Linked DNA regions of Coturnix japonica. Each later gene encodes a partner of the first gene's protein in a complex. Links are inferred from orthologs where the notes say so. Each region holds a gene or a part of one and is shown in the gene's direction. Other genes may lie near its edges.

What was found.
Region 2: MED8 (region 1) and MED19 share a complex: the UniProt entries of both Homo sapiens proteins name them as parts of the mediator complex. The link is inferred for Coturnix japonica from reciprocal best matches to the Homo sapiens genes MED8 and MED19.
Region 3: MED8 (region 1) and MED20 share a complex: the UniProt entries of both Homo sapiens proteins name them as parts of the mediator complex. The link is inferred for Coturnix japonica from reciprocal best matches to the Homo sapiens genes MED8 and MED20.
Region 4: MED8 (region 1) and MED13 share a complex: the UniProt entries of both Homo sapiens proteins name them as parts of the mediator complex. The link is inferred for Coturnix japonica from reciprocal best matches to the Homo sapiens genes MED8 and MED13.

The regions. Positions count from the first base shown.
Region 1 is NC_029523.1:17,386,114-17,394,449, reverse strand, and holds the start of MED8 (mediator of RNA polymerase II transcription subunit 8), read left to right. Parts: upstream 1-2,965; 5' UTR 2,966-3,045; coding exon 3,046-3,051; intron 3,052-4,991; exon of another isoform or gene 4,992-5,009; coding exon of another isoform or gene 5,010-5,015; intron 5,016-5,476; coding exon 5,477-5,595; intron 5,596-6,591; coding exon 6,592-6,736; intron 6,737-6,940; coding exon 6,941-7,081; intron 7,082-7,479; coding exon 7,480-7,561; intron 7,562-7,862; coding exon 7,863-8,111; intron 8,112-8,336. Other genes in the region: KICSTOR complex protein SZT2, read right to left, coding at 280-411, 1,624-1,794, 2,397-2,570, 2,677-2,802, 2,936-2,965. UniProt on the Homo sapiens protein: Component of the Mediator complex, a coactivator involved in the regulated transcription of nearly all RNA polymerase II-dependent genes.
Region 2 is NC_029520.1:7,803,794-7,811,505, reverse strand, and holds MED19 (mediator of RNA polymerase II transcription subunit 19), read left to right. Parts: upstream 1-4,008; 5' UTR 4,009-4,031; coding exon 4,032-4,227; intron 4,228-4,368; coding exon 4,369-4,625; intron 4,626-4,692; coding exon 4,693-4,789; intron 4,790-4,871; coding exon 4,872-4,966; intron 4,967-5,103; coding exon 5,104-5,172; 3' UTR 5,173-5,437; downstream 5,438-7,712. Other genes in the region: BTBD18 (BTB/POZ domain-containing protein 18), read left to right, coding at 1-68, 158-819; TMX2 (thioredoxin-related transmembrane protein 2), read right to left, coding at 2,000-2,146, 2,276-2,405, 2,492-2,557, 2,637-2,743, 2,824-2,900, 3,184-3,297, 3,422-3,482, 3,749-3,937; palmitoyltransferase ZDHHC5, read right to left, coding at 7,164-7,329, 7,627-7,712. UniProt on the Homo sapiens protein: Component of the Mediator complex, a coactivator involved in the regulated transcription of nearly all RNA polymerase II-dependent genes.
Region 3 is NC_029541.1:4,731,863-4,740,560, reverse strand, and holds MED20 (mediator of RNA polymerase II transcription subunit 20), read left to right. Parts: upstream 1-3,503; coding exon 3,504-3,613; intron 3,614-3,757; coding exon 3,758-3,909; intron 3,910-4,073; coding exon 4,074-4,327; intron 4,328-5,239; coding exon 5,240-5,437; intron 5,438-6,242; coding exon 6,243-6,413; downstream 6,414-8,698. Other genes in the region: BYSL (bystin), read right to left, coding at 1,424-1,772, 1,904-2,006, 2,212-2,372, 2,559-2,692, 2,900-3,038, 3,120-3,505. UniProt on the Homo sapiens protein: Component of the Mediator complex, a coactivator involved in the regulated transcription of nearly all RNA polymerase II-dependent genes.
Region 4 is NC_029534.1:6,213,423-6,220,231, forward strand, and holds the end of MED13 (mediator of RNA polymerase II transcription subunit 13), read left to right. Parts: intron 1-132; coding exon 133-324; intron 325-479; coding exon 480-703; intron 704-1,105; coding exon 1,106-1,248; intron 1,249-1,452; coding exon 1,453-1,611; intron 1,612-1,690; coding exon 1,691-1,876; intron 1,877-2,068; coding exon 2,069-2,217; intron 2,218-2,485; coding exon 2,486-2,659; intron 2,660-3,069; coding exon 3,070-3,170; intron 3,171-3,910; coding exon 3,911-4,043; 3' UTR 4,044-6,024; downstream 6,025-6,809. UniProt on the Homo sapiens protein: Component of the Mediator complex, a coactivator involved in the regulated transcription of nearly all RNA polymerase II-dependent genes.

The DNA.
Region 1 (8,336 bases):
TCCATAGTCATTAAGCTTCTTTTCCACACATTTTTTTTAAGCACTTTGTTATCATCCTGGAAAAGGTAGCTGTTTTCATTAGTCCTTCCCCTAAACACTTACTGGTTCTGCTCTCCTCAGCACTCATTTCTTATTATTAGACCCCACAAAGTTCTCTTACAAACTCCTTAGCTGTTCCTTCTTCACACTTACAACAGCATTCCTCTATTTGCCACTCCACCCACAGGGTCTCACAGCACAGATCTTTATTTAGCTGAGAAACCCCATCTACCTCCTCACCTGTGGTTTGGGTTCATACTGTTGCTGGAGCATCTCTGCCACTTTGTTCTCAAAGGCACACAGCTGTGTGTAAACTTGGTGCAGAAAGGCTTCTCTCTTTGTTTCATCCAGCTGACAGCCCTGGAACAGTACCTGGCACAAGGACACACACATCAGCCAAAGAGTTTTATACTATCAACCCCCTATAACACAGTTCAGACACGTCCCTTACAAAGCAGAGCACAGGCCCCTTGTCACTATTCCTGCATGGGGCCAAACAGCCTGTATGCAACAGAATTTCATGGCATCTGCAGTGAACTCTGCAGCAGATGCTCTAGGAAATTTTCCTCTTGGATGAAAAAATTTCTACTCTTTTGCCCTCATCTAGGAAAAAATAACATGGGATCCTTATGAGAAGGCATTAACTCTGGTCTGACATTTCTAAAGAAGATCCGTTTCTTCTAACTCACCTACTGGATGATCCATTTATCTTCTAGTAAGTGGTTGTACAGTGGAGTAAAATGTTGAAAATCAGGAGTTAGAAAGGAGTTAGACTGGACATTACAAAAGAGGCTCAGTGATACAACAGAAGATCCACAGAAGCTCCCCATGCTGACTGGCACAAAGATTCTATTTATGGTACTGTGACAGAGGCAACCTCTGCCAAAACCAGGTATTGCAGAATAAGGAGGCAAAGAGGATACAACACCAGGGAAGTGAAAATAACATGAAAATGCCGTAAGATGGAAGGGAATGACACAATAACAAACTTCAAAAACCTCGCAGGCATGATAGACCAAACCTCAATGTATTAAAAAGACCTGCCCTGGCTCAAGTAAATGAGAGATTATTGGGGGCTGCCCTCTCCACTAGGGGAAGCACATTTCTAAGCAACGCTAAAAAGGAACAAAGGTTGCAGGAAGAGGAAATTATGACTGAATAAACCACAGCTACACAGCTGAAGCAGGCAGACAAGCTTTTGGACACCTCTTATTGAATGTTTCAAATTACAACAGGCCAAAAGAATTAGTCAACAGAAATTAAAATAAAACAAACAAACAGAGCAACACCAACAAAAACACAGAGTAGTCACGAGCATAAAGACTCAGTGTGCTCTGAGAAGCACATGTGGCAGTGATCTCCAAAGGGCCCTGCTCTACTGTGAGAAACCTTTGCTTCCTCTCAGAAGAGAGAATTTGATCACCTCTGCTTCTCTATTGCACCAGGCTGCATGTTTTAAAGAAGCAAGATTGCAACACCCCAGAGCCCAGCTAACAGACATCCCTACTTTCCTCTGGGCTCATAGGAAACCAACGCAGACAGCTGCTGACGCAATGAGATGCCGAGGGCAAGGCCAAGTTTTACCTGGTGGGATTGCAGGCCAATGATGGAGGAGTACGCCTGGATGGTGACAAAGATCTCGGGCTGATAAATAATGTCTGAACCAGGGATTCGGAAGGGCCTTAACAATCCCACTAAGCATCGGGAAAGAGCATGAAACACTTCATCAAAAATGATCTCTCCTGTTGAGTCATCCTACAGAAACAGAAGAGGAGAATTATAGAATCATTATAGCTAAGATTACCTTGTCCAACCATCAACCCATTCCCACCACACCCACTAACTGCACCTCACATCTCCACAGCTTTTGAACACCTCCTCAGTCCTTCTGACCACACTAGTTCTGATACAAGCCAGGATGCCTTCTTGGAGACCTGGGCACACTGCTGGCCCATGTTCAGCCAGCTGTCAGCTAACACTCCTAGATCCTCTCCCTCCATAAAGCTCTCAGCCACAGCCCCTAAATCAGCAGCACTGCATGGGGTAAACAAAACAGCTTTTACATCTTCTGGAATCTGCAATCTCATTGCACCCACCACACAGAGACAAGTACAAGCCTATTTCTGCAACAGCAGCTGCCTCAGAACGACCCCTGCAAGCAGAGGTCACACATTCTGCAAGGAAACAGGATCCACTGCAAGGCTGTGTTGCCAGCAGCAGTGCCTGCTTCAGCCCTCAGGAACACAGGACCCCTGCAGGAGTGACCACTAATGCAGGGACACACATGTTCTCAGCAGAGGGAACCAAGCCTGGTCCTTTAACACAAAACACCCCAGAGAGGCAGCTCCTGGACTCACCACGATGCCAGTGGAAGGGCTCAGATCGAGCTCAATGACAAAGCGGTACTGGCGGGCCAGGAACGTAACGCGCGTGGAGGGCACCAAGAGGTAGGGCCGGGGCTGGACGGGCTCATCCGGCTGCCATCCGTTGGGCAGGATGCTGAGCACATCCAGCTCGTTTTCTGACTTCAACTACAACAAGAAGCGAACGACAAGCATGAAACATTACTCCAAGCCAAAGGACACGCCGAGATGCAGGGCCACCATCCACCCTGCAGCACCCCCGGCCCCCACTCACCAGCTCGGGCTCGGGCACAGCCCAGATGACCTGGTGCAGCCGGCTGAGCACCCAGGCGAGCCGCACGTTGCGGGAGATGCGATAGTCCTTCTTCATCAACAGGAAGACGTGCCCAGCCTCCTCCACCTGCAGCAGAAGCACAGCGCCTCGTCACTCCAGGCCGGGCACCACCACAACCCCCGACCTCTCTACACAGTTCCCGGTCTCAAAGCCGCAAACAACCCCGCCTCCCCTCGCCCCGCAGCGCGTTACCCCTCACCTCAGCCTCGGGCCTCTCGGCAGCCGCCATGTTTGCCCGGCGGCCCCGCCCCGCGCCCTCTGACCTGACTCGGAAGTGGAAGGCTGCCATAACAACAGGGCCGCGCAGCCATGCAGGTGAGGGGCTGTATGGGGTTGAGCAGGGCTGTATTGGGCTGGGCTGGGCTGGGCTGGGCTGGGCTGGGCTGGGCTAGGCTAGGCTAGGCTAGGCTAGGCTAGAGGGAGCAGTAGGCCCGTATGGGGTTCCGCTGTGCCCCGTGGGCCGGGCTTTGGAGGAGTAAAGCAGTGTGCCCAGTTGTTCGAGAAGGTCTATGGTATCTTGGCTCGTGGAGGCTCAGTGTATCCTATAGGAGCGGGGTGGTGGGCGTCCCTCTGTGCTGACATTGGTTGAGGCCGCATCTCGAGTGCTGCGTTCTGTTCTGGGCCCCTTAAGCAAGAAGGGCATTGAGACCTGAGCGTGTCCAGAGATTGCGACAGGGAAAGTGAGGGGTGGAGGCATTACAGAGAGCAGCTGGGGGAGCTGGGATGGTTCAGTCTGGATAAAAGGAGGCTCAGAGGGACCCCATGACTCCCTTAAACTCTCCAAATATTTACAATGGGGTGGAGGTCGGCCTCCTCTCCCAGGTAACAGTGACAGGATCCCTTGCTTTCCTAATAAATCCCATTATTACTTTGATTTCCTCGACTTCTTGAGCCTCAGGCTGATGTTTCCCTGGGTTACCCTCGGATAATCCTCAGATCTTGTTTGTGAGTGATAATGTTATCAGCTCAGAGAATGTCATTGTGTGTGTGTAAAGTCAGGGTTGTTTATTTCTCTTTGTTTCATTGTGTGTATTGCTTTATGTTTATTCTGAATTTCACCTTTACCTCCCAGTCATTCATTATCAGGAGTTCCTTCAGCAGTCTCTCCCGTAAATCCTATTTTATTACCCTGGGACAATTCAGTATTGTTAACAGACTCCTTGAATTGCTGCTTGTATATGTCTGTGAGAGGCAGAGTATTTCTTTGAATCATTGATCTTGGTGCACGTGTGCTTTGCGGTGCTTAAACTTACTTCCAGCTCTCATGGAGAGAGCACACAAAAGGAGGAGGCTCAGACTGCACTGTCACACAGTGTAGTGTGATTTCATTCACAATCTTTAGGGCTTCTTGGATACGCGCTGGCAATGGGCCACACCAGTTGTCTTGGTTGTGTGTACCTGCCACCTCTGCAGTGAGATACTGGCTCCCAGCCCAACTCGTAGTGCTGTCAGTGGTTCATCTTGCTCAAACACAACGTGCACAGTCAGCGTTAGACTTGTTTCTTAAGTGCACAGGAACAGACTAGTCCCATCACAGGATGGCGGAGAGCTGCAGTGCTGTAGCTGTGAGTTGTAACCCCGTGGTTTGCTCTGTTAATCCATGCTGTGGATTGGAAGTGGATTTTAGCCACATTTATTTTGCCATTTCTTCTAAGGTAGTGAAGTCTTATCAGCAGTCTATGGAAAAAAAAACAAAACCTTTATAGTCTTGTCAGACCGTGAGTAGAATAATTTCATGTTCTCTTAAATGTGGAAGATACTTGATGATCTCATGCTAGTTTCAGTTTGTTTAAACAGCACAAGGATCCCAATAGTGAGCGTGCAAGCAGACTGAGTCACCCCATCTGCTTTCCCAATCAGCATTCCCTTTCTATTATTTAACTGTATTGCTGTGTCTCACCCTCCTCGTGGATTATTGTTGTACAGTCCTTGACTTACATTAGCAGTCCATTAGGATTGGGGCTTTAATTACATTTTGTGCAATTCTGTTGAATGAGTAAGAATAGATAAGGTTCTAGAGGGTTTTCGCAAGAGTCGGAGATATTCTGTGCTATATGTGACAACAGGTCTCCTCTCCTATTGCTTTGTATGTCACCATACTCCTCTCAGCTAGGGGAGAAGATTATTTAAGCAGTGCACCAAGGCAAAAGGCAGCAGGTGATCTCTGCATGTGTCTAACTACGTCACTGACACTGCAGCGCCTTCCACAGCTGGTAAGGGACAAGGAATTTTTAGGAGCTGGATGCAGCACCTGGACAGGAAGAAAGTGAGAGATGAGGGTAAGGGCAGAAACTGGAGTCTTTGGGCCACTGATCTGATACTTGTTTTGCAAATGGCTGTGCTGGGTGAAGACATCACTGTGCCTGCTGTCAAAGGGTGCTGAGAATGCTAATCTGCTTTCAGCTGGGTTAGCATGAATAACTCACGGAGGTGGTGCAAGGTAACTTTGATGACTTTGCCTGATGCAAGTGATGTATAGGCTTTACTTATCTAGATCTTAAAAATGACAGCTAGCCATGGGTTGGCTCAGGTACGAGTCTCTTCCTAAATGTTTCTTACAAGGAGACAAGATAAGTGTGAAAATGTAGGATTTTTATCTACGTGGTCTCTGTTTCCTTGCCTTGAAGAGGAGTCTCTCCATAGGAGAGGGTGGAATATGGTTGCAGATGTATGGATCCCCACAGTCCTTGGAAAGGTACAAAGCTTTGTCCTCACCCCTATCTTTCATTCTTTTTTTCAGAGAGAGGAGAAGCAGCTGGAGCTGACCCTGGAGGCACTCATCAGCCAGGTGGCTGACCTGAAGAACTCATTGGTCAGTTTTATCTACAAGCTGGAGAATGAGTACGATCGACTCACATGGTAAGGCATCCCACAGAGACAGGGCACTGTCACTGATCGCTGCTGAAGCTCTTCTAGACTCTGCCCAAAAAGTGTAATTAAAAGCCACTAACTTGCTCTCCACAGGCTTACCTTCACTTTTCATGTTAACGTTGGTGAAACTACTGAGTATCTCCCACCCGAAAAACAGTTGAAATTCATTTCTTCTTCACTGTGCAGTAGTAATCATACCAATACCCTTGAACCTGGGTGCTTTATGGGAACTGGTGTAGTTGTTTTCATTTGCAGTGACTGGAAACTCTTTGGACAAAAATATCTTAGTGACCCACTTATGCTGTGAAATGAGCAATCATTCTGCATTTCTCAATCTTTTATCTGGTTCTGTTATAAAGTTGTGTTCCTGTGCTCGCATTTTGCTGGTTTGGCATGCTTTCTCAGACAATTTGAGAGGCTTGAAAGGTGGTATTCTCTTCCTGGTGGACTGGAAGGATGATGTATCTACAGCTGAATAAACTCTGAGGTGTCTTAGACAGTTTCTGCTGCAAAGATTCACAGACAGCATCTGTAGGTGGTGAAGTCCCCAGAGAGAGCAAACTGAAGGGGATCTTCTTGATAAGTTTGTCCATTATTTTGCCTCATTATCACTTTGTCTTGATAACCAAGCTATAAAACCTGTCTCTTGTCTGTACTGCTTAGGAGTGAGTATGTGTTTCAAGACCTTGCTTGAGAATTTCACTGGGAGAGTTATTGATAAGAAAAGCATTGCTCCTGTGTGTGTTGCAGGAATCCCAAACAACTGCCACTTCCAATGCTACTTGTAAAGTCCCTGGGCTATTTACAGCATTGTACGTCGAATCTTGAATCTGTCCACACCTACACGTTCAGCTCTAGGTTTTATTCCTTATTGTTTGGGTAAATAATAATGTTATTTCCTCGGTTCCCAGATATTTGAATGAGGAACAGATAAAAGCCATCTGTGTTGTCTATTTCCATGTTCTGTTCTCTTTCCTTTCTCAGGCCTTCAGTTCTGGACAGCTTCGCATTGCTCTCAGGACAGCTGAACACTTTAAATAAAGTGCTAAAGCATGAGAAGACCCCGCTATTGCGAAACCAGGTTATCATCCCCTTAGTGCTGTCTCCAGACCGTGATGAGGAAATCATGGTAAGAAACTTCCTGCTGAGTATTGGACCTGGAGTGTCACAGCGTACCTGCAGTTTAGACTTCCTTATGCTCCCCAGGCCAAGGTTTTCCCATAGCATCCCAGTAGGTCTTGCTCCAGTGTCATGGCCTGTGCTCTGCTCTTCAGCTGTCTGAGGGCTTAGCTGGAGGAGGGGGCCCTGAGTGTGTGTTGTCCAACTGTTGTAGCGACAGACAGAGGGTCGTGTACCGGTCTTCAGCCACGAGGTCGTGCCTGACCATCTGCGAACTAAGCCTGACCCAGAGGTGGAGGAGCAGGAGAAGCAACTGATCACAGATGCAGCTCGAATTAGCCCTGATGGAGCACAGGTAGGTGAAGAAGAGTTTAATACTTCTGTCACTTGGTCCTAGGGCTCACGATGCCCTTTAACTCAGTTTTCATCGAGCTTATAGCTAAGTTTTCTTTGTTGGTATGCCCTGAGGTTTCTTTAGATAGCCCTACCTGATGTTTGGGTTACAAATCTCACATGACAAGGGTATCCAGCTTAGTACCTGCTCACAGGAGGTGCTATCAGACCAGTCAAAGAAAGGCAAAAGCTGTACACCCTGGTAGTGCCCTCCTGCATGCATTGGAACTGGGCTGTCTGGGCTCTGCTACCAAAATGTTTATTTGATTGCACTGAAAAGAAAAAGATGGTTCATTTGCTGTTCTGACTTGTATCGCATTAGAAGTATCCTGGTAGTTACTGATGATTTTTGTTTTGCAGAAACAGATCCAAAGTCTAAATAAAATGTGCTCAAATCTGCTGGAGAAAATCAGTAAGGAGGAACGCGAATCTGAAAGCGGAGGTATGTCACTGAGGTGGAAATTGAGTATGTGGTCAAAGCAGCTGGCTTGAGAACAGTGGGAAAATAGGTAAAACAGAGAGCCTAAAGAATGGAAAACGAGGATAAGCACAAACAAAAGCATGGAAAAGCATTTTGGGGGGCACTCTCATGGTTGGAGGAGTTGGCTTCTTCTGACCCCCTTCCTTTTGAGCAGCATGTGCCAAGCAAACCATCAAAAAAGGAAATTCAGGACCAGCTGTGATAATTTTTTTGACTCCAATGCCATAATGCTCAATTTTATTTTATTTTTTTTTTCCCACAGGATTACGACAGAACAAGCAGACTTTCAACCCTACAGATACCAATGCACTGGTAGCAGCTGTGGCCTTTGGGAAGGGATTATCAAACCGGCGACCCCCGGGCTCTGGAGGATCTGTCCAGTCAGGTCAACCAGGAGCTGGTGCTATCATTGCAGGGGCTTCAGGCATGCAGCAGGTGCCAATGTCAACTGCACCAGCTCAGCAGCAGCCAATGCTGGCAGGAGTGCAAATGGCACAAGCAGGGCAGCCAGGTAAATATGTTGCATATCTGCCAGTGATTGAAAAGCAGGAAGCAAGAAAGATGAATGCAGGTGTAGGGATCTTTACTGCTGTCTGTAATGTGAATGTGAAACACCTGAGCAAAAGTAATTTGACTTCACTTGACCAGTGCCTAGGGTATAACCTAGTTATGTGTATTGGGGAAAATTCATACATGATATTAATGTTTATAGACATAGCCTGGAGGTGGGAAGAAG
Region 2 (7,712 bases), on another chromosome or scaffold:
CTTCCTGCGCCTGCACCAGCAGCAGCAGCGGGCAGACGTGTTCTGCGACGTGCTGCTGCGGGCAGAAGGTGAGCGGGTGGCTCTCTCGGTGTGCCCCCAACCTCCCGGGGATCCCGTGCCGTCCCCGAGTAGTGCCGGCACCGTGCACTCCTTGCAGGGCAGGTGGTGGCCGCGCACTGCTGCGTGCTGGCGGCGTGGAGCCCGTTGTTCATGGAGCGCCTGGCCCGGCAGCTGCCCCCCGCGGGTCGCCCCGTGGTGCTGGATCTGGACGGGCTGAAGATGGCCACGCTGCGCACGGTGCTGCGGTTCCTGTACACTGCCGAGCTGGACGCGTCCCGGGACGAGCTGCGGGACGTGCTGGCCGCCGCCCGCCGGCTCCGCGTGGCCGCGCTCGAGTCGCTGCAGCTGTGGGAGGACGGAGTGCTGCGGCCCGGGCCCCGCTGGCAGCTCGACCGCAGCTGTCTGAGCGGCACCGGGTCCGGCACCGTCCCGCTGACGGACGCCCCTCGGGAACGGCCGCTCCCTGCGGAGACCGCGGGTCCGGCCCACGCCGTGGGGCGGCTGAAGCTGAGGAGGATGGAAGGGCGGCGCGGCTGGGAGGTGGTGCGGGACGGGCAGCTCTCCCTCGAGCCCGTCGCAGTGGAGGCCCGGACGGGAACGGAGCCGTGGCCGCCGCCGGCTGCGGGCGGGCTGACGGAAGACGAGCTGGAGGAGGAGGTGGATGTGGGGATGGCGGAGCCCTGTCTGCCCCCCGGCACCGTGTGCGTCTGTCCCAGCCCCGAGTCCGAGTCCGGTGGGGAGGTGGATGTAGTCGGTTAAGGAGCCGCTACCGCCTGCCCGTGAGACCGAAAGAGCGCGGTGTCCGTGTGTCGGGTGACGCTGAAATAAAGCACTAACGCCATGTGACGGAGCCGCGGAACTTTATTGGGGTAACGCTGCTGGGTGCCGGCCGGGGCCGCTGAGCTCCGGCGTTTCTGCGGGGGAGCTTCGGAGTCGGAGGCGATACTGGGGGCGGTGCCCTCCCTTGGTGCCGCCTCTTCATGAGCGCTCCCTCCGCGACGCCGTTCTCGTCGTGCCGCCTCTAGGCCAGGCTGCTCCGCAGCGCCTCCACCACGACCTCGGGCTCGGGGAACTTCAGCTTGCGGGGCGGCCCCTTCCCGATGCCGCTCCACAGCTGCACGGCTACGGAAGGATACGGACGCGGGTCAGGGCGGTCGGGATACACACCCCCCCCAGCTCCTCCCGGCCCCGTACTCACTGCTGCCGTCCTCCTTCACCAGGGACACCTCGAAGCTGTTCCTGCGGGGCTGCCGCGGGTTGATCTCCACGGCCAGGGCGGACACGGCCCCGCGCAGCGCCTCGCTCAGCGCCAACGCGTTGCGCCCGTACACGCGTCAGCTACGGCTGCGGGAGGCGGCACTGAGACGGGCCCGCGGCCTCGGCACTGAGAGGGGCGGGGGGTTTAACCTACCAGTGCTCGATGACCACGCGGGGCCCAACGGCGTCCCCGGCAGCGCCGTCAGTATCGCCCTGAGCATCAGTGCGGGGCCGCTTCTCGGCAGGGTCGGCCTCATTCCCCGGCTGTGCGGGGCGCCGCACGCCGCGCTTCCGACCACGAGGAGCCATCACAGCTCCCGCCGGCGCGCCACCACCTCCCGCCACCGAGCTGCGCTGAGGCAGCCAATCAGCGCACGGAACGCTGCACGCAGCCACGCCCCCCGCGAGCACGAGCACGGAGCGGACACGGGGACGCGCACAGCAGGTTTATTGTCAGCATAAGGACGGCGCGACCCGCAGCACGGCTATACCGGCTGGACCACTAACGGGAACCGGCTGGACCCAGACCGGACACCGGCGGGGCCGGGGGATGGCACGGGGCCCTCAGCGCGGGCACAGCGAGCAGTGGCCCCGGGCTCAGCGCTACGTGCAGGGCTACCAGCCGGCACTGCATGGTCCCCAGGGGACAGCGGAGTGGTGATGGGTGAGAACACAGCAGCTCCTACTTCTCCTTCTTAGTCTCCCCGTTGGCAAGGCTGGCCGCTCCTTGCCCCTCGGGCGGCTCCTCGCTGCCTTCATCCCGTGGTTTTGACTGCTTCTTGGCCTTCTGGTACAGCTCGTTCAGGTTGAACTCCCTGATCACGTTCTCCTGCAGTCAAAGCACAGCATTAGCACCAGCAGTGACCTGCTAACACCCACTATTCACAGCTCCTCAGAGCCGCTGAGCACATCCCATCCTCAGGGCATGGGCTGGAACATCCTCCTGCCCCTTATGTACCTCAGAGAAGGTCCAGGAAACGGCCCGGCCCTTCTTGTCAATCTGTGGGCGACGCATGATCTCTGTCCCTCCCTGGAAGAGGATGAGGGTGGGCAGCTGCTTGGTGAGGGGCGAGGTGCTCACCTTGTACCTGCAGGAGTAAGGCAAGAGGCAGACAATGACATCAAGGCACTTGGAAGGCCTGGTACCTTCCTCTACCCTCTCGGCCCCACAGACCTGGTGCTGACATCCGTGTATCGGCCAACATCCACCTTCCCAAAGTGCAGCCCCGAGCAGTTGTACCTGGGAGACAGAACACAGCTCTGAGTGAGCACTGGGCTGGGACCGACTCAGCAAGGCCTCAAAAGCAGGCAGCACTCACTTGAGAGAGAGGTCAGCGAAGATGGGGGCAAAGGACTGGCACTCACTGGACCAGTTGGCGAAGAACTCGACGATCCAGGTCACCCGCTTGTCTCGTTCCAGCTCCTCCTGCCACGCGAGTCAACAGGGGATGGTAGGCAGGGAGCCCGGCACCCCACGCCAACTCACACTGGGTAGGAGATACTCACATCTATGGTCTTATCGTTGAAGTACTTGATATACTCAGGTCCCATGTAAAGGGGTGGCTTGCAGGTCATCAGGAACACTGCAATAACAGCATCCCTGAGCCCAGCGCCCACCTGGAGCGAGGCCTCTGCCCCCTTTTTTCCACTTCTGGAATGCCCAAGAGACACAGGCTTAGTCTGAGGGAGGCTCCTCCTTCCCCAGAGCAGCCTGTATGGCTACAAAGACAGCAGCAGCACAAGGCAAGATGGCTCCAGCCCCATTTGAGGAAGGCAATGCACAGGATGGGCAGAGACAAGGCCTGACAGGAGCACTGTTACAGCCCCTGCATTACGGATCCCCCCCCACTTCCCCACGTGTCTCACCGATGCAGAGCGTGAGGTAGAGCAGGCCCATGCGGATGTCAAGACGGAAGAAGAGGATGGCGTTGGCCACTTTGCTGAACATGAAGATGTTCCCAATGTGCTGCTCCACAGTGACTGGGAAGGAGGGAAGAAATCAGAGATGGGGCCACGTCTCTTTTCACTCTCATCCCTCAACTGTTTCCAGTACAGAGACACCCCATCAGCAGCTTATACTCAACCCAGCACTGCCCCAACTCACTGGAGCGCCGGTTCTTCATCATGACGATGGCGCTGAGGAACATGAGGATCTCCACCTCCCGCTGCACAGGAGAGAAACGCAGTGAGCACCGTGACAGCCACAGCCACAGCCACAGCCACAGCCACAGCCAGCACCTCGGGCACAACCGAGCAGCCCTGCAGCACAACCACAAGGCCAAGCAGCCATTCCAGGCCGCTCCAGCCTTCATCCTCCGCCTGCCCTCGATCAGGAGCCGGGGCTGCGCACAGAGGGGCCGCCTCGGCTGCACCCAGCGCCGGTGATACCCGAGTAGGCCACGGCACAGGCCGGCCCGGTGCTGCCGCTCACCCAGTCGAAGTCGCAGGGGTTGCCGTCCTCCCGCTGTGAGGGCAGCCCGCGGCACAGCGGCGGGACCTTGCGGACGAGCAGGAATGCGGTGGCGAGCAGCGCGGACAGCGGGTAGTAGGGCCGGGCCAGCCAGCGGCACAGCCCCGGCACCGAGTACAGCAGCGCCAGCAGCGGGGCCAGCACCGCCATCTTGTCCTCCGGCCGCCCGCCGCGCTCCCATTGGCCGGAGCTGCACGTACGTCCGCGAGGGGCGGGGCGGCCCCGCGCGGGGCAGGGCGGGAAGATGGAGAACTTCTCGGCGCTGTTCGGCGGGGCCGAGCCGCCTCCCGCCGCCGCCGCCGCCGCGCTGGGCTTCGGGCCCAACAAGGGGCCGGGAGCGGGGGCCGCTCCGCCTCCAGCAGCCGCCGTGCCGCCGCCGGGAGACGACGCGGCGCGCAAGGCCGCCACCGGCCCCTTCTACCTGCTGCGGGAGCTGCCGGGTGCGGGCCGGGCCGCGGGGGAGGGGGGGGGGGCGCGGGGCCAATGAGCGGGCGGGACGCGCGGAGTGACGGCTCGTCGGGCCAATGGGCGCGGGCGGTCCGGCGAGGGGCGGGGCGCTGAGGGTGCCGGTCCGTCCGCAGGCGGCACGGAGCTGACGGGCAGCAGCAACCTGATCACACACTACAGCCTGGAGCACGCGTACAACAAGTTCTGCGGCAAGAAGGTGAAGGAGAAGCTCAGCAACTTCCTGCCCGACCTGCCCGGCATGATCGACCTGCCCGGCTCACACGACAACAGCAGCCTGCGCTCCCTCATCGAGAAGCCGCCCATCTGCGGCAGCTCCTTCACGCCGCTCACCGGCACCATGCTGACCGGGTTCCGACTGCACGCCGGCCCGGTGAGCACCCGGGGGAGGAAGGGGGGATGGGGGTAAGGAGGGGGTCCGCTGACATGAGCCCCTGCAGCTGCCGGAGCAGTGCCGCCTCATGCACATCCAGCCGCCCAAGAAGAAGAACAAGCACAAGCACAAGCAGAGCCGCACGCAGGACCCTGTGCCCCCAGGTAGGACCGTGCCCTGCTAACTCTGCACCCCATGTGTCCTGGTAACTCTGTGCCCCGCTCACCCCTCCTCTGCTTCCTGCAGAAACCCCCTCGGACTCAGACCACAAGAAAAAGAAGAAGAAGAAAGAGGAGGATCCGGAGCGCAAAAGGAAGAAGAAGGAGAAAAAGAAAAAGAAGGTAGGTTAGGAGGCAGCGTGCTGCTCTGCTCTGCCTGCACCAGCCCCGTGCCAGGCCGCGGCAGCACCACACGTTAGGCCTCCAGCAGGGCTTGGCACTGGGTTTCACAAGGCCTCACGCCTGTCCTTCTTCTGCAGAACCGACACAGCCCCGAGCACCCCGGGGTGGGCAGCTCGCAGGCCAGCAGCAGCAGCAGCTTGCGGTGAGGCTGCGCTGTGCTGCTCTATGGAGCTCCCTGCCCCAGCTGTGGACTCGTCCCATCACAGAGCACAGCGGGGAGGTGTGGGCACTCATGGTCCCCGCTTGCAGAGAACGTGGCCTTGCAACCCCCCTGCTTGCACTGTGTGGCTGATGGGGACCTGGTGACGCGGACGCTGCTGGAATGGGGGCTCCTACCACACCTAAGCAACGTGGTGCATTGGGATCTCACTTTTTTATTCACCTTTTAATTAAAGTCTGCTCTGAGGAAGAGCTGGTGCCAGTGGCGGCTCTGACTGTTGGCCAGCGGGGCAGGGCAAGGAGCAGAGGCCTTGTGCCTGTCCCATCATACTCCAGGCCTTGCAGCTCTCTGGGCTGTGAGAGAAGGCTCAGGAGGACACAAGTGACCCCAGTTCAGCACCATGTCCCCCAGGGCTGCCCCTGTGGGGGCTCCTACAGAAGAGCCAGAGCCTCACTGAGTCCTGGGACATGTTCCAACCCTGACAGCTCCACTTACCTGCACTGAGAGCGCTGTGCCCCAAAGTGCCCTAAGGAAGCACATCCCAGCTGTGAGGGCGCAGGCACTGGCAGCCCTGTAAGGCTGGGCCCGGCTCTCCTTGTCCCCTTCCTTTCCACTCCAGACGAGGGAGGGAAAGCTGAGAAGTGAAGGACAGGATCCTTCACGGACTCCTCCATCCCTGGACACCGCACAAAGCACACGCATGCCCGCTGAGGTGACTCATTAAATATCCTTTTATTCCTCGTTTTTAAAATGGCTAATCATAATAATAAAAAAAAAAACAAAAAACCAATGGCATGGCTCTGCGGAGGCCACAGGAGAGATATTGCCATAGAGAAAGAGTCAAGTAGTGCGTGAAGTTGCGTGGGCCCGGTGCGGGGTGGGCTCCCCAATGGGGCTGGGGGTGGCGGGGCAGCACTGGGCTCCTTGGCTGCGTTTTTTGGCATGTGATGAGAAAATATTGCTCGACAGGGATGTGCCTCTTCCCCACATGGAGATAAAAATAACCACGTGACAGCCAAAAAAAACCTGATCACCCATTAAAAAAAAAAAATAATAGAAAAAAAAACCACAAACCCTGGGGAAATGCTAAAAAAAACCAAAAAACAAAATATAGAGCAAAATGTGCAGGTGCAGAAAGGCTGCAGCCCTCACCTGCACACCAGCAGCTCCCCCGGTCATCGCCAGCTTCACACCACCTCTGTAGCCAGTGGGAGATGCCGGGCACAGGGGCTCCAGATCCAAGCACACGGGAGGGGGGTCCACAGCATGATAGAACCCAGCAGGAGGGTCCAGGATCCCGCAGGCCCCAGTGTGACATGGGCACCCCGTGACCCCCAGGAGCCCCTGAGCGAATCCCCCCCTTATCCCTCGAGCACAGGGGCCCTGGGTACGGACCCTGTGAGGTGGTGGCCCATGTGGGGAAGGGGAATGGGTGGTTTCTTCCTCTCTCTGGGTAAGATATATAATTTCTGCTTCTTTTTTTTTTTACTTTTTTCTTTTTTTTTTTTCCTTTTTTTTAATATTTATATTTATATATATAGATATTTATATATACACACACCTGGTAACTCAGAAAGAGAAAAAAAATAGAATCCGTAACAATAATAATAAAAAAAAGTTATTCTGGTTTAAAAACAATCCATTCCTACCACGCTAGGCGAGCGATTGATTGCACAAGGCCCACAAGTGGCTGCCCGGCCAATGCTGGCAGGGCACGAGGCTGCGGGACATGGTCCCCCCCCACGACCCCACACCTGGCCAGGGCAGCATCCCTGCCCCACACAGTCCTGGGGTGTGAGTCAGCGCCTGAGTCCCAGGGAGGGGTGGAAAGAGGGAGGAAAAAAACCCCTGGGGCTTCCACAGCCCATCTCCTCATCCCCGTCTTCAGCTGGAGACTGCAGAGCGTCTGTGCCCATGGAGCCCTCTGGTGCAAGCGGGTGCCCAGCCAGGAGGTGAGCAGGCGAGCGGCTCTGCCCCTCATACCGAGATCTCATACGTGGTGCCCCCCACACCAGAGACCTTCTTGACTCCTCCACGTGTGGGGCTGCTGACAGGCACGGATCCTGAGCCAGGGGTGGCTGAGCTCAAGCTCTTGGGCTGCCCGTTGGACTTGCTGTAAGATGTTCTCATCTGCATCTCGTCTCTGGGGAGGGAAGCAAGCACACGGGGGTGAGAAGGTGGGAGCACGGGGGTAGAGTGTGGCAAAGCACGGGGCAGAGGGAAAGGGGGGAGTGGGATCCCAGCACGGCGGAGCAGAGGCAGCCCTGCCTTCCCCAGGGACACAAAGCAGCCAGACGTCCCTCAAGCCCACCAAGATGCCCATGAATTCTCCCAGGGACAACGCCAGCTCTGTGCCAGCAGGACTTTCCCCAGCCCTCCCCGCATCCACCCCGGTGAGCTGCAGTGCACGCCATGCGGGGCAGACGGTGCCAAAACTCACTTTGGTGCCAGTAGCGGCTGCAAGGCCACCTCCTCAGCCTCGGGGACGCTGGCCTGAGACGCTGCTGGTTTTTGGCTGCTGTAAGA
Region 3 (8,698 bases), on another chromosome or scaffold:
GAAAAAAAGGAAAAAAAAAAAAAAAAGTGTTTTTTAAAGAAAAAAAAAAACCATTCTATAATGCTGCTTTCCTAAGAGAGAACCAATACATTGTAGACTCATATTAACCAGGAATAGCCAGAGAGCCGCTGCTGGGGGTGTCCCTGCACACAGAGCAGCTGCTGAACTGCTCCTGGGGGGGAACCTGCTCTGGGTGCCACCAGAAACAAGTTTATCAGGTGGAAAAAGCTGGGGCTGCTGTGCTCTCACCGCCGATGAATTGCGAGGAGCGTCTGTACAAACAGATTTTTTTATATATATATATATGAGTGAGTTTTAATTTAAGAGTAATCTGTTGTGGTGTTCACATGCAAGTCCTGCTGCTGGGAAAGTTGGAGTACCGTGTAATGTTGCAATAAAGTATTTTAAAGGAGCACGGCGGTGTCAGGGCTTTCCCTTTGCTGCTGTTCCCTGCACAGACGGGGCTGTGCAGCAGGAAGGTGAGCGCGTTGCATTGCGTGTTTGCTGGCAGCTCGGCCGATCTCTCTTCTTATCAGCTTCTGGCTTTTTTAAAGAAAGGAAATATGAACCAGGAAGCCAAGATTAAAAAAAAATGGCTGCAGTGTGTGAGCAGCCCCAGGTGCTGCTCTGCTCCACGGGGAGACACGGAGCCAGGAGGTGCTCAGCACTACACGAAGCTTCAGGGACTGCTCCCCATGGGCCGTGATGCTTCCAGGAGCAAGGACAGGAGCTGGACATCTGCAGGAGCTGTAGTGTCCAGGTGAGCACCCAGGTAAGCGCGGAGCCTTGTGCGATGCCCCGCTGGATTTTACAGCAGAGGTGGCACTTCAAGGCAGCTGCCACGTGTGGGTTATGGCCTTGCCCCTTGCCCCCACCTCTCACAGGAAGATGTTTAACCCCAGCCCCTCTGCCCAACATCACAGAGGCTGCTTAATGCACAGCACAGTTGGGAACGTGCTCGCTGCTGACCAGAGCACAAGGAGGGCAGGGAGTTGCACAGCCCCTGGTCTCCTTTTGCAGCCGGGACAGCTGCAGCGCAGTGCTGCAAGGAGCCGCTGTTGGTGGCTTTGCTCTGCCCCCTGCTGGGGACAGGACGAGGGGAGGGGGACAGGGCAGGACGATGCACGGATGCAGCCACACAAAGATGCAACTGCAGGTCAGAGCTGCTCCAGGAAGGACCCAGCACGGGCTTTATTTTCCAGAACAGGAGCAGGACAAGCCCTACTGCTGTCCTGGGTGCCAGGGCTGTAGGGCTGCCCTGACACAAGCAGCGCAGGGAGCCCAGCCCAGCCCCGTGGTTACAGCACCATGAGCAGTGGGATCCCAGGGCTGGATGCTCCCAGACCCCTGGACGTGCTGCTCCCAGCTGTGCAGCAGCCCCCAGGAGCCAGGCCAGGCTGTGGTGCTTCCTTCCTTCCTCCCCTCACTCCATCACTGCCGGCTCCTGCCCCTCCACGTCCCGTGTCTTGGAGTTCACCAGCTCCCTGCGGATCTCGGCTGAGATCTGTGGGTGGCTGTGGAACTTGAGCAGCTCGAGCAGAGCTTCCTTCTGCTCCGAGGACAGGTCCTCCTTGTAGCGCTGGGCAAGAGCCAGGAAGCTCTGGTGCCACAGCACGGGCAGCGTGCGCTGGTCTGTGCGGAAGGCCAAGAAATGGAAGACCAGGGCATCCACCACACGGAACGGCAGCGCGTACTTCTTGTCGATGAGCAGCCGCAGGAAGATACTGTTGGCACCGTTATATGGCATCTCAGCAATCTTCAGCATGGCTGCACTGTGGGGACAAGGGGAGCAGCAGGTGAGGGCAGGGCACAAAAAGGACGGCTTTGAATCAGCCCTGAGCAAAGCTCCCCCACTCTGAGCTGTTGGATGGGCTGAGGGGCAGTGACTGCCCCAGTGCATTACCTGGAGTGCAGGACAGGGATGGAGCACTTGGTGAGGATGCTGCCGATGATAATGGCCTCCCGCAGTGTGCAGGTCCCCGATTCACACAGGGGGATGAGGATCCCTGTGGGGAGAGAAGAGCTGGGCACCACTGGTCATTGCAGCAGGCAGAGCTGTGGGGTGTGAGGCTCAATCTCTGCTCTCTCAGGGCACATTTAACCCAAGGAAATAACATCTCTGCATCATGGGCACCTTTCCACCTTCCTCCCCCTGCCCTGCCCTGCAGCAGGTTCCCAGGGGTGGAGTGCAGCCCTGCAGGGAGCCCCTACCTTTGAACCAGGCTCCTGGCTTGAACAGAGCCTTCTTCAAAGCCATGTAGAGGTGGAAGTTGAGGCGCTTATACTCAGCGATATCATCTCTGACCCGTGGCAGCAGCACCAGGTTGTAGAACCTCTGGGCCATCCTCTCCTTCAGGTTGGATGAAAATATCCTGTGAAATGCAAAGCATGAAGAGTGAGCTGTGACTCCAGAGCCATCCACCCCCAGCATCAGGATCCCCTCTGCTCCACAGGCACAGGGCAGGAGGAGCAGCTGTAGGACACACGATGGTATTTTGTCCATCTCGTTCCATTACAAGGAGAAAACAACAGCTCAGAGCACACTGAGCTGGTCCCACCTCGTGGCCTGGTACATCGCTGCTGCCGTCCACGTCTCGGGCTCCGTGATGTAGAGGATCTGCTCCCAGTTGGACAGGGCAGGAATGATTTTAAATGCCTTGGGGAGCTTCCCACTCCTGTATTTGGACAGCACCTTCAATGGAAGCAGAGGGGGAAGGGTTTGTCTCAAGGCTGTAAGCAACCTGTCTGCTCCCTGTGCAGCTCCACTGCGTGTGCTCACACAGCACGTATGTGCTCACAACACCCGAGGGACACAGCAGTGCTGTCTGCACTGCTCCGCCGGGAGCTGGGGGGTCCCACAAAGGTGTGTGTGGGGCCGGGGGGGCCGCAGTGCCCTCACCTCTCTGACGCCTCTGTACACCTCTATCACGCGGGGGTCGAGCTGGGGCATGGGGCGGCCCGACAGCTCGGACAGCGCCGTCTGCACCTCCGTCTGCTTCTCCGTGATCTTCTCCATGATCACATCCGCCAGCGTCCGCCTGGGGGGGCGGCAGGGGTCGGTGATGGGGAACCGGAGCTCCCCGTCCACCCCCCGCCCATTCCCACCCCTCCTCCGGTACCTGAGCGGCGCCGCGCGGTTCATGAACATCTCCAGGGCCTTCTCGTCCTCGGGATCCACCTGCACGTCCCCCCCGCCGCCCGTCCCGTCCCACTCCGCCGCCCGCTGCAGTGACGGCCACTCCTCGTCCTCATCGTCCTCCTCCGACCCGCGCCCGCTCGGGGCTGTCGGTGCGGGCGCCCCGGGGCCGTGCTCGGCCTCCAGCTCCTCCTGCTGCCTCCGGGCCTCCCGCAGGATGCGCCGGGACAACCGCGGCCCCACGTATCCGCCGTCCCGTTCCTCCGCATCGCGCCCCGCGTCCCGCGCCCGCCGGTTCCGCACCGTGGGGGCCGCAGCCCGCAGGATCTGCTCGTGCAGCGGCTCCGCCACACGCGCCGCCTTCGGCATGGCCGCAACAGCGACACGCGATCAGACGCGCCGGCGCCAGCACGGCCAGCCCCGCCCCTTCCGGTACCGGCACCGCCACTGCCGGGACGGAGCCATGGGGGTGACCTGGTGAGGGGCCGGTGGGGATGGGGTGATGGATGGGGTGATGGATGGGGTGATGGATGGGGTGATGGGGTGATGGGGTTGGGGCTGGGTTTGGGTTTGGGTTTTGTGGAGGCCCCGCGGCCATTTTTGCTGTTTGTCGCCCCGCAGCGTGACGCAGGTGCCCGTGTTGGAGGGTAAGAGCGTGCAGCAAACCGTGGAGCTGCTGAGCAAGAAGCTGGAGCTGCTGGGAGCCGAGAAACACGGAGCGTTCGGGGTGGACTGTGAGACGTATCACACGGCAGCCGCCATCAGCAGCCAAGGTGGGAACCCGGGGGGGGCGGGTGTAGTGCGGACATGGGGCATCTGCTGGGCTGGTCAGCATGGAGAGGAGAAGGCTGAGAGGGGCTGGGGGCGCTTATCAACCCATACGAATGTTTAAAGGGTGGGTGTCAAAGGAACGGGCCAAACGCTGCTTTTCTTTCAGGGCAGACGGGCAAACTGATGTACGTGATGCACAACTCCGAGTATCCCCTCAGCTGCTTCGCTCTGTTTGAAAACGGGCCCTGCCTGATCGCGGACGCCAACTTCGACACGTTGATGGTGAAGCTGAAGGGATTCTTCCAGAACGCCAAGGCAAACAAGATCGAGAGCCGGGGCACGCGGTACCAGTACTGCGACTTCCTGGTCAAGGTGGGAACCGTCACCATGGGCCCCAGCGCCCGCGGGATATCCGTGGAGGTGAGAATCACCTTTAAGGGTATGAAATCCAGGGCAGGGAAATCCCATGTTGGAGGCTTGGCTAGAAACCTTGAGTCCCCATCCCTTCCATGTATCATCTGTGTTACTCGTTGCTGGCAGGTTGTATTAATGCATTCAATGCCCTCCTGCTGCAGCTTTGGCTCTAAAGCTGCTTTCTCCTGGTCACAGAGCTCTGTGCTGTCAGTGCTGCCCCAGATCTGAGATGAGGTGCTGAAAGGTCTTGTAAAATCTGAGCATGTGTTTCCCTAAACACACAAATCCTATTAACTGGTCTGTAATTAATAATGATGGCGCATCTACCCAGGCAGGTGTTCCGAGCTAACAGGGATGGGATTGAGAAATGCCTTGGTTTTGCTTCATAAGAATAAACACAGATGTAGTGGTGCGAGCTGCTGCTGAGCTGGGGTTAAAGAGAAGCTTGTTTTACCCTAAGCTTGAGTCCAGGACCAGATTTTCCTGGCAGTCCGGCTGCTTCTGCTTTGGTTTAGTAGGTTGTTTTCTGGGTGTCCATTAGTACATAATCCCTGGTCTGGAACCGCAAGTCCTTAAATCCCAAGGCTTTATCATCACACATCTGAGAGATGTCGTGGCCACACAGGCTGTTAACAGCGACTCTTGGGAGAGAAGTTTGTCGTTGGATTTCCACTGCTGGGGGTTTAAAATGACGGATGAACCTAAAGGGGAAATTTCCCTTTCTTGTTCTTCTCTTTTGAGGAGCTGGTTTGCACATTCCCTGTGTGTCCTGTTCACATGTTTGTCCTTCTGCTGTTATGTGCTCAATGTTCTCAATTGAAAAGCACTGTTATCCCTCTGCAGTGCAGTACAGAGGAGGTGTTTGCTGGCTTCAAACTCTTGATGCATATCTCATTTAGGGCTGTTTTTTGTTGCCAGGTGGAGTATTGCCCCTGTGTGATCGCCAACGACTGCTGGAACCTGCTGATGGAGTTCATGCAGAGCTTCATGGGCAGCCACACTCCCGGCATCCCGACTGTGTTTGGCACCAAACACGACAGCGTCTACAGCCCCGCGGACACGATGGTTCAGTACATGGAGCTGTTCAACAAGATCCGCAAGCAGCAGCAGGTGCCGGTAGCAGGGATCAGGTGAAGGGACTCGTGGAGCTCAATGTGCAGCAGCTGCAGGTCGGGGTCCGTCCAAAGAGCAGCTCTGCAGCCAGAACAAGGCACTGAATAACTGTGATGTCAGCAGCTCTGGGAGGAGCCGGTTGCTGAGCCGTCATCAATGGCAGCATCACCATGAGGGAACTGCACGAGGAATCGTGTGCCGAGTTCCTGCAGCTCCCGGTGGGGTCCATGTGCATTGACTGCACTGTGCCTGTTGGTTTCCAGGTGCTGGTTTCGGGCTGTGGCTGTAAAAACAAACCCTGGATTTGGTTGGGTCGCGATTTCAGTTGTTTCACTTTTTAATAAGGTTAAAAACAAAGAGTTTCCTTTCAATGACCATTTTAGTGACGCTGAACATTGTGACGCTTTACTCATTCCCTAAGGTTGGTCTTAAAGATGTAAAACATGCTGGGATCCCTGCAGACCTCACTGCCCCCCCCCCCCCCCCCCCCCCCCCCCATGGCCCCGTTATCGCCGCGCTGCCCCTTTAAGATCCCTTTGTCTGCTCCATCCCTATTGACCCTCAACTTCAGCCGGGATTCACAAAGCCCGCTACGTCACCGCCCGGGGCCGGGCCCAGCCGCTCCCCGCCCCTTAACGCTGCCTCCCGCTACGCAACCGTGAGCCGTTCAGGAGCGCCCCCTAGCGGCTGCGCAAAGCTCGTAAGCTCCGCCAGACCTCCGATTACTACGGCGCTAGCTACGCAAACAGCGTCCACTCGAGCGCCTTTAGCGCCGTTAGCTCCAGAGACGGTTACGGAATTGGCGTAGGCGGTGGAAGTGAATGGGGAACGGGGAGGGGGGCGGGGCGAGCGCGTTGTGTGGCGCGCCCTCCGACCAATGGCGGTGAGGGGCGGGGCGCGGCGGGCGGCCAATGGGCGGGGAGGGGGCGTGTCCCGCGGCGCGGCGGGGTCTCCCGGCGGTGACAGCTCGTGTCGGTGATGGCGGTAAATAAAGGGAGGGGGGGGGGGGGGGGGGAACCACGGGGCTGTGGGAGGGTCCGACCCACACACGGTGCCCGATGCGCTGCGGGGGGCGGGAACTGCGGGACGGGCCGGAACACGGCGGGGGGGGCAACGGGGGGGGGTTACCTGCTGTGGGGAACCGGGAATGAGGGCAGGAACCGGCCGGGGGGCGAGAGGCCTTTTGGTGTGACAGGGGGGGAACTAGAGCGGACAGGAACGGGAACAGAAGAACTTTGTGTGTGGGGGCCCGGGGAGAGAGTGGGGGGGGTGAGGGGTGTATGGGGGGATGTGGGGATATGGGAGATATGGGGGATATGGGGTGTAGGGGGGCGGCGTTGCCTCGTGTTGCCGGCCGTCTCGCTGGGCCCGCGGGGTCGGGGCCGCCAAGATCCCGGCTCAGTTCGGTCCCGCTGAGGCTCCGTTCCCCGCCTCGGAGCTGCTGCCCGTCGGGTCGGGTCGGTTCCGGGCCCTGGGCCGGGCTCGCTGCGCTGTTGCCGGTACCGCAGCGCTCGGACACTCGTTTCCCCGCGTGTCCCTTCGTGTGAGGGCGGTTCTGACAGCGCCGCGTTCGGGGCCTTTTGCTGTTGCACAAGTTGTGTTTGTTCCCAGTTGATGCTCTTTATCCAGCAGCAGCGCGTTGTAATCGGGGCTTTATTCAGCTGTTGCGCATCCACACGTCGTTGCTTTAGAGTTAAAGGTCGTTGCAGCGGTTGCGGAGCTGCCGACACGCCGGGCTGAGCCCCGCGATGTGCTCAGCAGCTCCCGGGAGAACAAAGTCCCGCTCAGCCGGGGCCGTTGGTGCCGCTCGGGGGTGGCAGCTCGGAGCGGCTCCTGCTGCAGCTCCTCGTCATCTCACGTTTGGGGTCCATAACTTGCTTGTTGTCCTTCCCTGGCCGTGTCTGGCCGCTGACTTTGCTTCCTTCCTTGCTAAAATGCACTTCGTTGCTGGCTGCTTCCTTTAAATGGTTGGTTGGTTCTCAGCACTTACAGAGGAGCTACAAGTACTTCGGTGGTGGCAGAAGCGCCGTGTTACAGAATCCATCTTGTAAGGTCTTATTTTAATCAGCTTCAGGGCTTCTTTCGGTAGTGCTGAGTCCTTCCCCCTCTGTCCTCCTCTCCCCTCTGCTTTGATATCAATTTATGTCTTAGGACCTCTGCTAGGAGTCACGAAGTTTAGCGTAGCTGTGTTCTCACCATCAGAGGAGCTTCACATTCAGATCAGCTGGAGATGGAACTGCTTGAGGATTCGGCTTCTGTCGCACAAGATGTGCAGACACAAATTCTTTCACGTGCACTTTTGGTTTGAGGAAGTAGTGAAGGTTTCTGGAGCTGCCCTGAGTCAGAGCAGAACTCAGGGCTTCTGTCTTCAAGCTGCTCGATAGAAAGGAACAGAGAGATGCTGAGATCAGTGGTTTGAGAAATCTCACCCGTAACGCCATTGAGATTAAATGGGAGAAAAAGGTGAGTCCCATAGTAACAGCTTTGAGCTTGTTGTGCTGTGAAGGACTTGCTGCCTGGGAGCTCAATGCTGAGAGTTCTGTGAGAACTTTGGTGCAGCGCCGCTGTGGTTTTCACCCTGAATGTTCCATCAGTGCTTTGGGTTGGGGCTCTGGGGGTGGTTGGGTTTTTTTTCCCCTCCCTATTGTGGGGATTGAAACCTCCAGAGCCGCTCTGGTCTCTTGTGTTAATTGCTCTGTGTGTGAACTCTGCACCTTCCCTGAGCGCTTCAGCACAAGCAGCAGAGCTGAGCTGGGCAGCACGAACCCCCCACGGCTCCCTTCAGTGGAACACCATCCTCGTTAGCACGAAGCCCTTAATGAACAATTGCTCTGGAGCACATGAGCTGCGCTAAGCAATTTCAATACATATGTATATTTAAGTGGGAAATCGGTATATTCCTAACATCCAACGCATAAACCAGAATGTGCTGCTTGTTTCTTCCTGCTTGTGTGCACCGCTGCCACTCTCCACTTCTGAGATCAAAGATGGCTCTGGTGATGCTGCTGAGCCGTGCACAGCTTTGCCACCACTGGCATTTATGGCCCCACAGCACAAACAGCCCCTGCACTGAGGGACAGGAGGCAGAAACCCAGGCTGAGTTCTGAGCGTCATCAAGGAGTGATTCCTCCGTGGTCTAAAGCAAGTTTGTGGTATGTCTGCAGCGAGTGGTTCCTATTGCAGCATACTGAGCACAATGCAAATTAAATGCTCTTTATTGCACTGTTTTCTGCTGCTTTTGAAGGATCTCCCTCTACCCCCCCC
Region 4 (6,809 bases), on another chromosome or scaffold:
GCTTTAGAAGTGGCAGGACCTCAAAGAATTAGAGATGATTGTACAGTTAAATCCTGAAAGCAGCGTACCCAAATACTATCTCAAAAAATGTAATAATTAATCAATTTTATTTCCCTGTGTGACCTGTTGTAGATCGTTCCGTGTCAGTACCTTCTGCAGCCTGTGAAACACGAAGACCGGCAGATTTATACTCAGCATTTGAAGTCTTTAGCGTTTTCAGCGTTTACTCAGTGTCGGAGACCTCTTCCATCTTCCACCAATGTGAAAACATTAACTGGCTTTGGCCCCGGCTTAGCCATGGAAACAGCTCTTAAGAGCCCTGATGTGAGTATTCTTATGATTAATGTGGTTCTGTTAATGTGCAGATGAGAGAAATGTCCCTTTTTATTAAATCATTGGTGTCTTTTACTTGAACTGAACAGAGTTCTTAATAGTAATCTCTACTTGAAACTTCATTTTCTGTTCTGTTGTCCTTATAGAGACCTGAGTGTATTCGACTGTACACCCCTCCTTTTATATTGGCTCCTGTCAAGGACAAGCAAACAGAGCTTGGAGAAACCTTTGGAGAAGCTGGTCAGAAATATAACGTGCTTTTTGTCGGCTACTGTTTGTCTCATGATCAAAGATGGCTTCTTGCATCCTGTACAGATCTCTATGGAGAACAGTTAGAGACGTGCATAATTAATATAGATGTACCGAACAGGTAAGTACCAAACTCCTTTTGATTTTTAACATGTATATATTCTTTCTTTCAAAGAATCATTTTTATCAAGATGATGTGAGAATATCTCTTGCTTTTGTTGACCCACTGTGCTGCAAATTTAAACCAAGTGGATAATTTCAATATGATGTGGATATTGAGTTAAATTTCTAGAAGGAATGTCCTATGGCCTCCTGTGATTGGAGAGTGCTTTGGTTTGTGTGATTTCCCCTTCCACCCCTTCCTCTGGCTTTTGATGTTAGTGTTACAATGTGATGAATGAAAAGCAAACCAATCCTTGTGTCCTGTGAACATTCAGGTTGGTACAAACAAGTTCCAAAGGTGGCAATAGAAGTTTGTCACAGATGGATTCCAGTTTTGTTTTCTCTTCTGTTTTAATTCTAGAGCTCGCAGGAAAAAGGGCTCTGCCCGCAGGCTGGGGCTTCAGAAACTCTGGGAATGGTGCCTGGGACTCGTGCAGATGAGCTCTTTGCCTTGGAGAGTCGTAATAGGCCGCTTAGGAAGAATAGGACATGGGGAATTAAAAGGTAACGTTTGTGCTTCAGTGTCTAAAAGTCGATTTGAAGCTTTCTTTTTAAATAGTATAGTGTCAATCTCTTTCTGGAAGAAAACCTGGGTGAAGCATATGAAGGAGCTCTAAGTTAACTCACAAATACTATGTCATACATAGAATAAGCATTCTTCAGCAAGTGTTGTTCTTCTAGACAAATCTATGTCCTTTGTATCCTCAGACTGGAGTTGTTTGTTGAGTCGCCGAAACCTTCAGTCCCTCAGTAAGAGGCTGAAAGACATGTGCAGAATGTGTGGTATCTCTGCTGCAGACTCTCCCAGCATTCTCAGTGCTTGTTTGGTAGCAATGGAACCGCAGGGGTCCTTCATTATTATGCCAGGTATGTGAGAAACGCTATTTTGGCAGGGGAATTAATTGTTTGTTTTGTACAAAACTAAGGAAATGTTTTTCTTCCAAAGATTCTGTATCTACCGGCTCTGTGTTCGGACGCAGCACCACTTTAAACATGCAGACATCTCAGCTGAACACCCCACAGGACACATCGTGCACTCACATACTTGTGTTTCCCACATCTGCTTCTGTGCAAGTGGCATCGTCAACTTATACCACTGAGAACCTGGATCTGGCCTTCAACACAAACAATGGTGAGCAGATTGGATTTATTCCTGTTTCAAAAACAAACCAACCCGAAACCCTTCATTGCTCCCCCTGTAGCAGGAATAAGACTTTATTCTACTAAACCACAGCATTTATATGGCAAATCACTTAATTTCTACTGCTTCCCTACTTATGGGAACAGCACATTCTGAAATCACGTGTTGTTGTTCTTTTTCAAGATGGAGCAGATGGAATGGGCATCTTTGACTTGTTAGACACTGGAGACGATCTTGATCCCGATATTATAAATATACTTCCTGCATCCCCTACTGGATCCCCTGTACATTCTCCAGGGTCCCACTACCCCCATGGAGGTGATATGGGCAAGGTAACTGATAGAGTAAATATAGAGGGGTGTGTATGTGTTCGTGTATATGTGTGTGTGGTTGTTTGCTCTCTGACATCTGGTTATTTCCTTTCTGGAATGAAAGGTTCCTATGAACTATTTTGAATTAATCAGATATTGGATTGCCACTGTAAAATCCATGTAATGCTCGGATCCTTCAAAAACGCTTTGTAATTTTAAAGCTGTGGGTAATTTCTTGTATCTTTGTGGTCTCCTAATAGTAAACCATTGCCTGTTAATTTTTTTATAGGGTCAAGGTACAGATCGATTGCTTTCAACGGAATCTCACGATGAAGTAACAAATATACTGCAACAGCCACTGGCCCTTGGTTATTTTGTGTCAACTGCCAAAGCAGGTCCCTTGCCTGACTGGTTCTGGTCAGCGTGTCCTCAAGCACAAAATCAGTGTCCCTTGTTTCTTAAGGTACCGTACCTCCAGTGGGGCTGCACTGGCATTTTTATTGAACAGAGGATTTATTTACCCTGAGCACCTTCAGTATGTAATAGTCTGACCTTATGGGGACAGCAGTGAACTTTAAAGCCTGTTTATTATTAGAAATCTTGTCACTGGAGTTTGCCTCCTTTTTTAATCATCATTTAATGTAGGCACAGAAGTAGTTTTAAAACAGTTTCCTTAGGTGTATTGCACTGTTAGCATTGTGCTTTTAGGAGAAAGGATTCCTGCACTTATGAGCTGCATAAGGATAAGCTTTATTTAACTCATGTGTTAGAGAACTAAGTGAAGTGGCTGCGATATTTGGGTCAGCGGAACAAGGGGAAGGAAGTTGCAGTTGAATCAGACGCTGACTGCTCACATCTCTCCTCCTTCCTCAGGCCTCTTTGCACCTCCACGTGCCTTCAGTGCAATCAGACGAGCTACTCCACAGTAAACACTCCCATCCACTTGATTCTAATCAAACTTCTGATGTGCTCAGGTATTTATGATCTATTGCTTGCAAAAACAGCTGTGCATTTCTTTTTTTAATACTACTGCAGGGGATCTGGAGGTTTGTTTTCCTTGCCATTAGTTTTCTCATTGTGTCACTGCCCTTCATACATAGCAAACAAAACACATTGCTGTGCACTGAGGGATGAAAAGACTTCCTCACCACAAGACGCTGCGGTTTAATACAAATATCTGAACTCTGATTTAACTAATTAAGATTGATTACAACTAAAAATATTTGAAAAAAACGTGAAATTCATTAAAAAATAGTGCATAAATGGGAGGAGGGTGGTTAGACTTGAGCCAGAATCTCATGTAAGCTGTGGGAATACTGAAGTCCAAGGGCATGCAGGTAGTTGTGTACACATAAGACACTTGTTAATGAGAAAGCAGCGTCATGGTTGTGTTAGTATTCACATATATATGTTCACATTCATATATATGTTCACATTAGTATGTGAATCTCTTAGCATTAATTATCATTGTCAACTAGGATTGGGTTAATTATTGATTAGATTTGATTAGATTATTGCTTAAAATACTACAGTATTTTCTACTGAAGTTCAGCTTTAATCTGCTCGCAACGATTCTATAGTTGTGTTACTGCAAAACATTGGCAGACCTGTTTTATGTGCTGAATACCACAGCAACCATGTTACGTTAAGCCGGTGCTGTAAAATGCTGCTGAGGAAAATCTGTTGGCTTGATGGAAGCTTGTTTGCTTTTCAGGTTTGTTCTGGAACAGTACAATGCACTCTCCTGGCTAACCTGTGATCCTGCAACCCAGGACAGACGGTCATGTCTCCCGATTCATTTTGTGGTGCTGAATCAGTTGTATAACTTTATCATGAATATGCTGTGATCTTCACCTGAATTTTGCAAGACAAAAATGAGGAAAAAGGATATTTCACTGCAGGACTAAGTTATGATTCTTCTCAGTGCGAGTTGTTTGTGATGGGGTATGAATCTTGTTACTTCCAGCAAATATTGGTTTGACTTGTGAGAGGGGGTACTTATCACCTGCTGTCTTGGAGTCGTTGACTATGGGGGATGCTTTAGAATGATGATCAGAAAGTGTATTATAACATTTTTAGTAGCAAAATTAACCATTTTTCCCCGGTCACAGTATTTGTGAAGAGTAATGAGCCATAGTACCCAGTCACAGTTAATGAATATTAAAGGCATGGAGATGAGAAGAAACGTGAGGAACAATGAGTTTCAACCTATGGCTTCGGAACATCAAGATGTTCTTGTATTGGATTATAGTACCTAGTATTCAAAAATGCCTGCATCTCTTATTTATTGTAAGTTTTTAAATGTATAAATTGTCTTATATTTCTTAACCTCTTTTATAAAAATTTTCCTAGAAGGTTTATACTGCCTTCTTGCTTTAAAGCAATTGGTCTAAAATATATGTAATCGTCTTAATTAAAAGTTGCAGTAGGTTGCTTTTAGAGTATTATTTTTTTGTAAGGGGGTGGGCGGGGACAGTAAATTTGTATTGTCTTGATGTACAGTTTAATGGGTATAGAGGGGTTAATGTCCATACCATTGTGTGTGGGGGATTTACAGCTAAGCTGTAGTTGCAGAGTACATGTACAGTAATGAAGTTCACTGTGTTTATATAAATTGAAAAGGTACCGGGTCTTACAGCATTTTATATCACACCTTTACAGAGTAACAATGGCAATATATCAGTGATATTGTAGGTGGTTTAACTTGTAGCGAGAATAAAACGAATAAACTCTTCAACTGAAGTTTGTGTTATGGTTCAGGGCTGTGGCTAGATTCTCAGATCTACTTCCAGTATCCTAGTTTAATTATTACAAGAATATCTATTGTGCATTGTTGTTGCTGGATATTCTTGGCACTGTGTTGAGCGCATTATTTTCTCCTGCTTGTGATAAAACACAAACCTAAAGTGGAAGGCACAGAACACAAATGTTGCCCAAAGTGTCCCGTTAGGCTGAAATTTAGCCCAGCTCTAACCATTTTACAAATGCAAAAGCAGTCAATCTTGACTTTAAGATTGGTGTGTGTTTAACTAAGATGTGATGTATATAGATTCTCAGTGAATTCTGGTATTCAGATTTTATTCCCTTAGGTGGGGTGGGGGGTGGAGGAGGACTAAAAAAAAAAAAAAACCCTTAAAAATAAAAATCCCAACCCCTCAAAAAACAACAACAAAATGCCCCAAACGTTTTCCTTTTTCATGTATTTTTGGCACTGTGGTGAAGGTTCCAAGTTTCAGTGTATGGCCATCCCCACAGCCCCTTTTCAGACTTTGTGTTTAAGGCGGCTCAGCCTGTTGGGAGGTGACAGCCCTCCCTGAGGAAGGGCCTGACTTGTTCCTGACTAAATCATGGGACTTTGGTTAAACCTCTCCTCCTTCACCATTTTTTTCCCTCTGTAGTTTCCTTCCTTTCTTCTCGCAGCCGCCAAATGTCTGATGGTGCTCTAAAATAGCCCCTACGGGTGCTGAAGAGCAACTGCATCTGCTTTTCCTTGGTTCCTCATCTTCTGACTGCTAGATTGAAAGCTTAACTCCTGAAGTGCTCACGTGAGTCTGTTGCTGTAATCATGTCCTGGGTCTTAACGCTGTCCGTCGAGCTGGTTAAACCTGTACAGGAGCAAGTTAAGATCCATTTTTTGCACCCACTGTTAATCCTCTACAAGGAAGAAATCACTTGTATTTACAAAACGTATCATGTTAATGAAGATTATGGTTTTGTAAATGCAAAATACCTGCCTGAGAATTTTTTTTTTCTTATAAAGTCTCCTTGAATGATGTATATACAATAGCGGCGCCTTTTTTGTTTTGTATAAAGCAGTTGTACAATTGATGATGAAACTTTCAGTCATTTCTTCAACTTAACTTGAGTGCAATCAGCAGTAGCAGGTTTTGATTAATGGTTAATAACGGGGTCTGTCTGTTCACTCACCTTGATGGAGCAGCACGTTTTGGTCTTACGGAGGGTTTTCCCCTTTTGAAGTGGAGAAGTGCTCCTAAAACTGCAGCTTCAAAGTGTACGTCCCAGTTTTATGTTGGGTTTTCTTTTGGTGTTTTGTTCCTTAAGTGGTTGCTTAAGTTCCAAGGGCTGGGGCTGGTGTGGCGCTTTGTGTTGTTCATACAGGTAAGTGAATCAGCTGCCTAAATCGTGATACAGCCCCATTCTGTTACCTGGGCCATAACATTCCCCATGAAGCTCTCCAATTGCAAAAGCTGCCAGTTTCCCACATGATCCCCTTCCCTCTCCAGTGCAGTTAAATGATAATTAATTTAATACTGTAATCACTAAAAAAATGATGAGGGCTGTTTCTGAAGCGAGTCAAAGCCGGAGGTGTACGTATCAAAACTGCCAATGCCATAGAGCAACTACTCCATTGAACATACCTTTCCATTAGTTACTTTCATTCTTTTAAGTGCACATAATTGCTGATTTATAAATAAAGCCATTGTGAGCCAATAACTCGGGTTCTTTAGAAAGTGCAATCTTAAATATTTGAAAGCCTCATCTCTGGCTTCTTAAAGTGGTTTTGAGAAAACATGTAGTTCTGGCAGCGCTCTATTGAGTAGATGTGGAATTTCCCCTCCTATGTATCCAATGAATCCAATGGAGCTGAGATC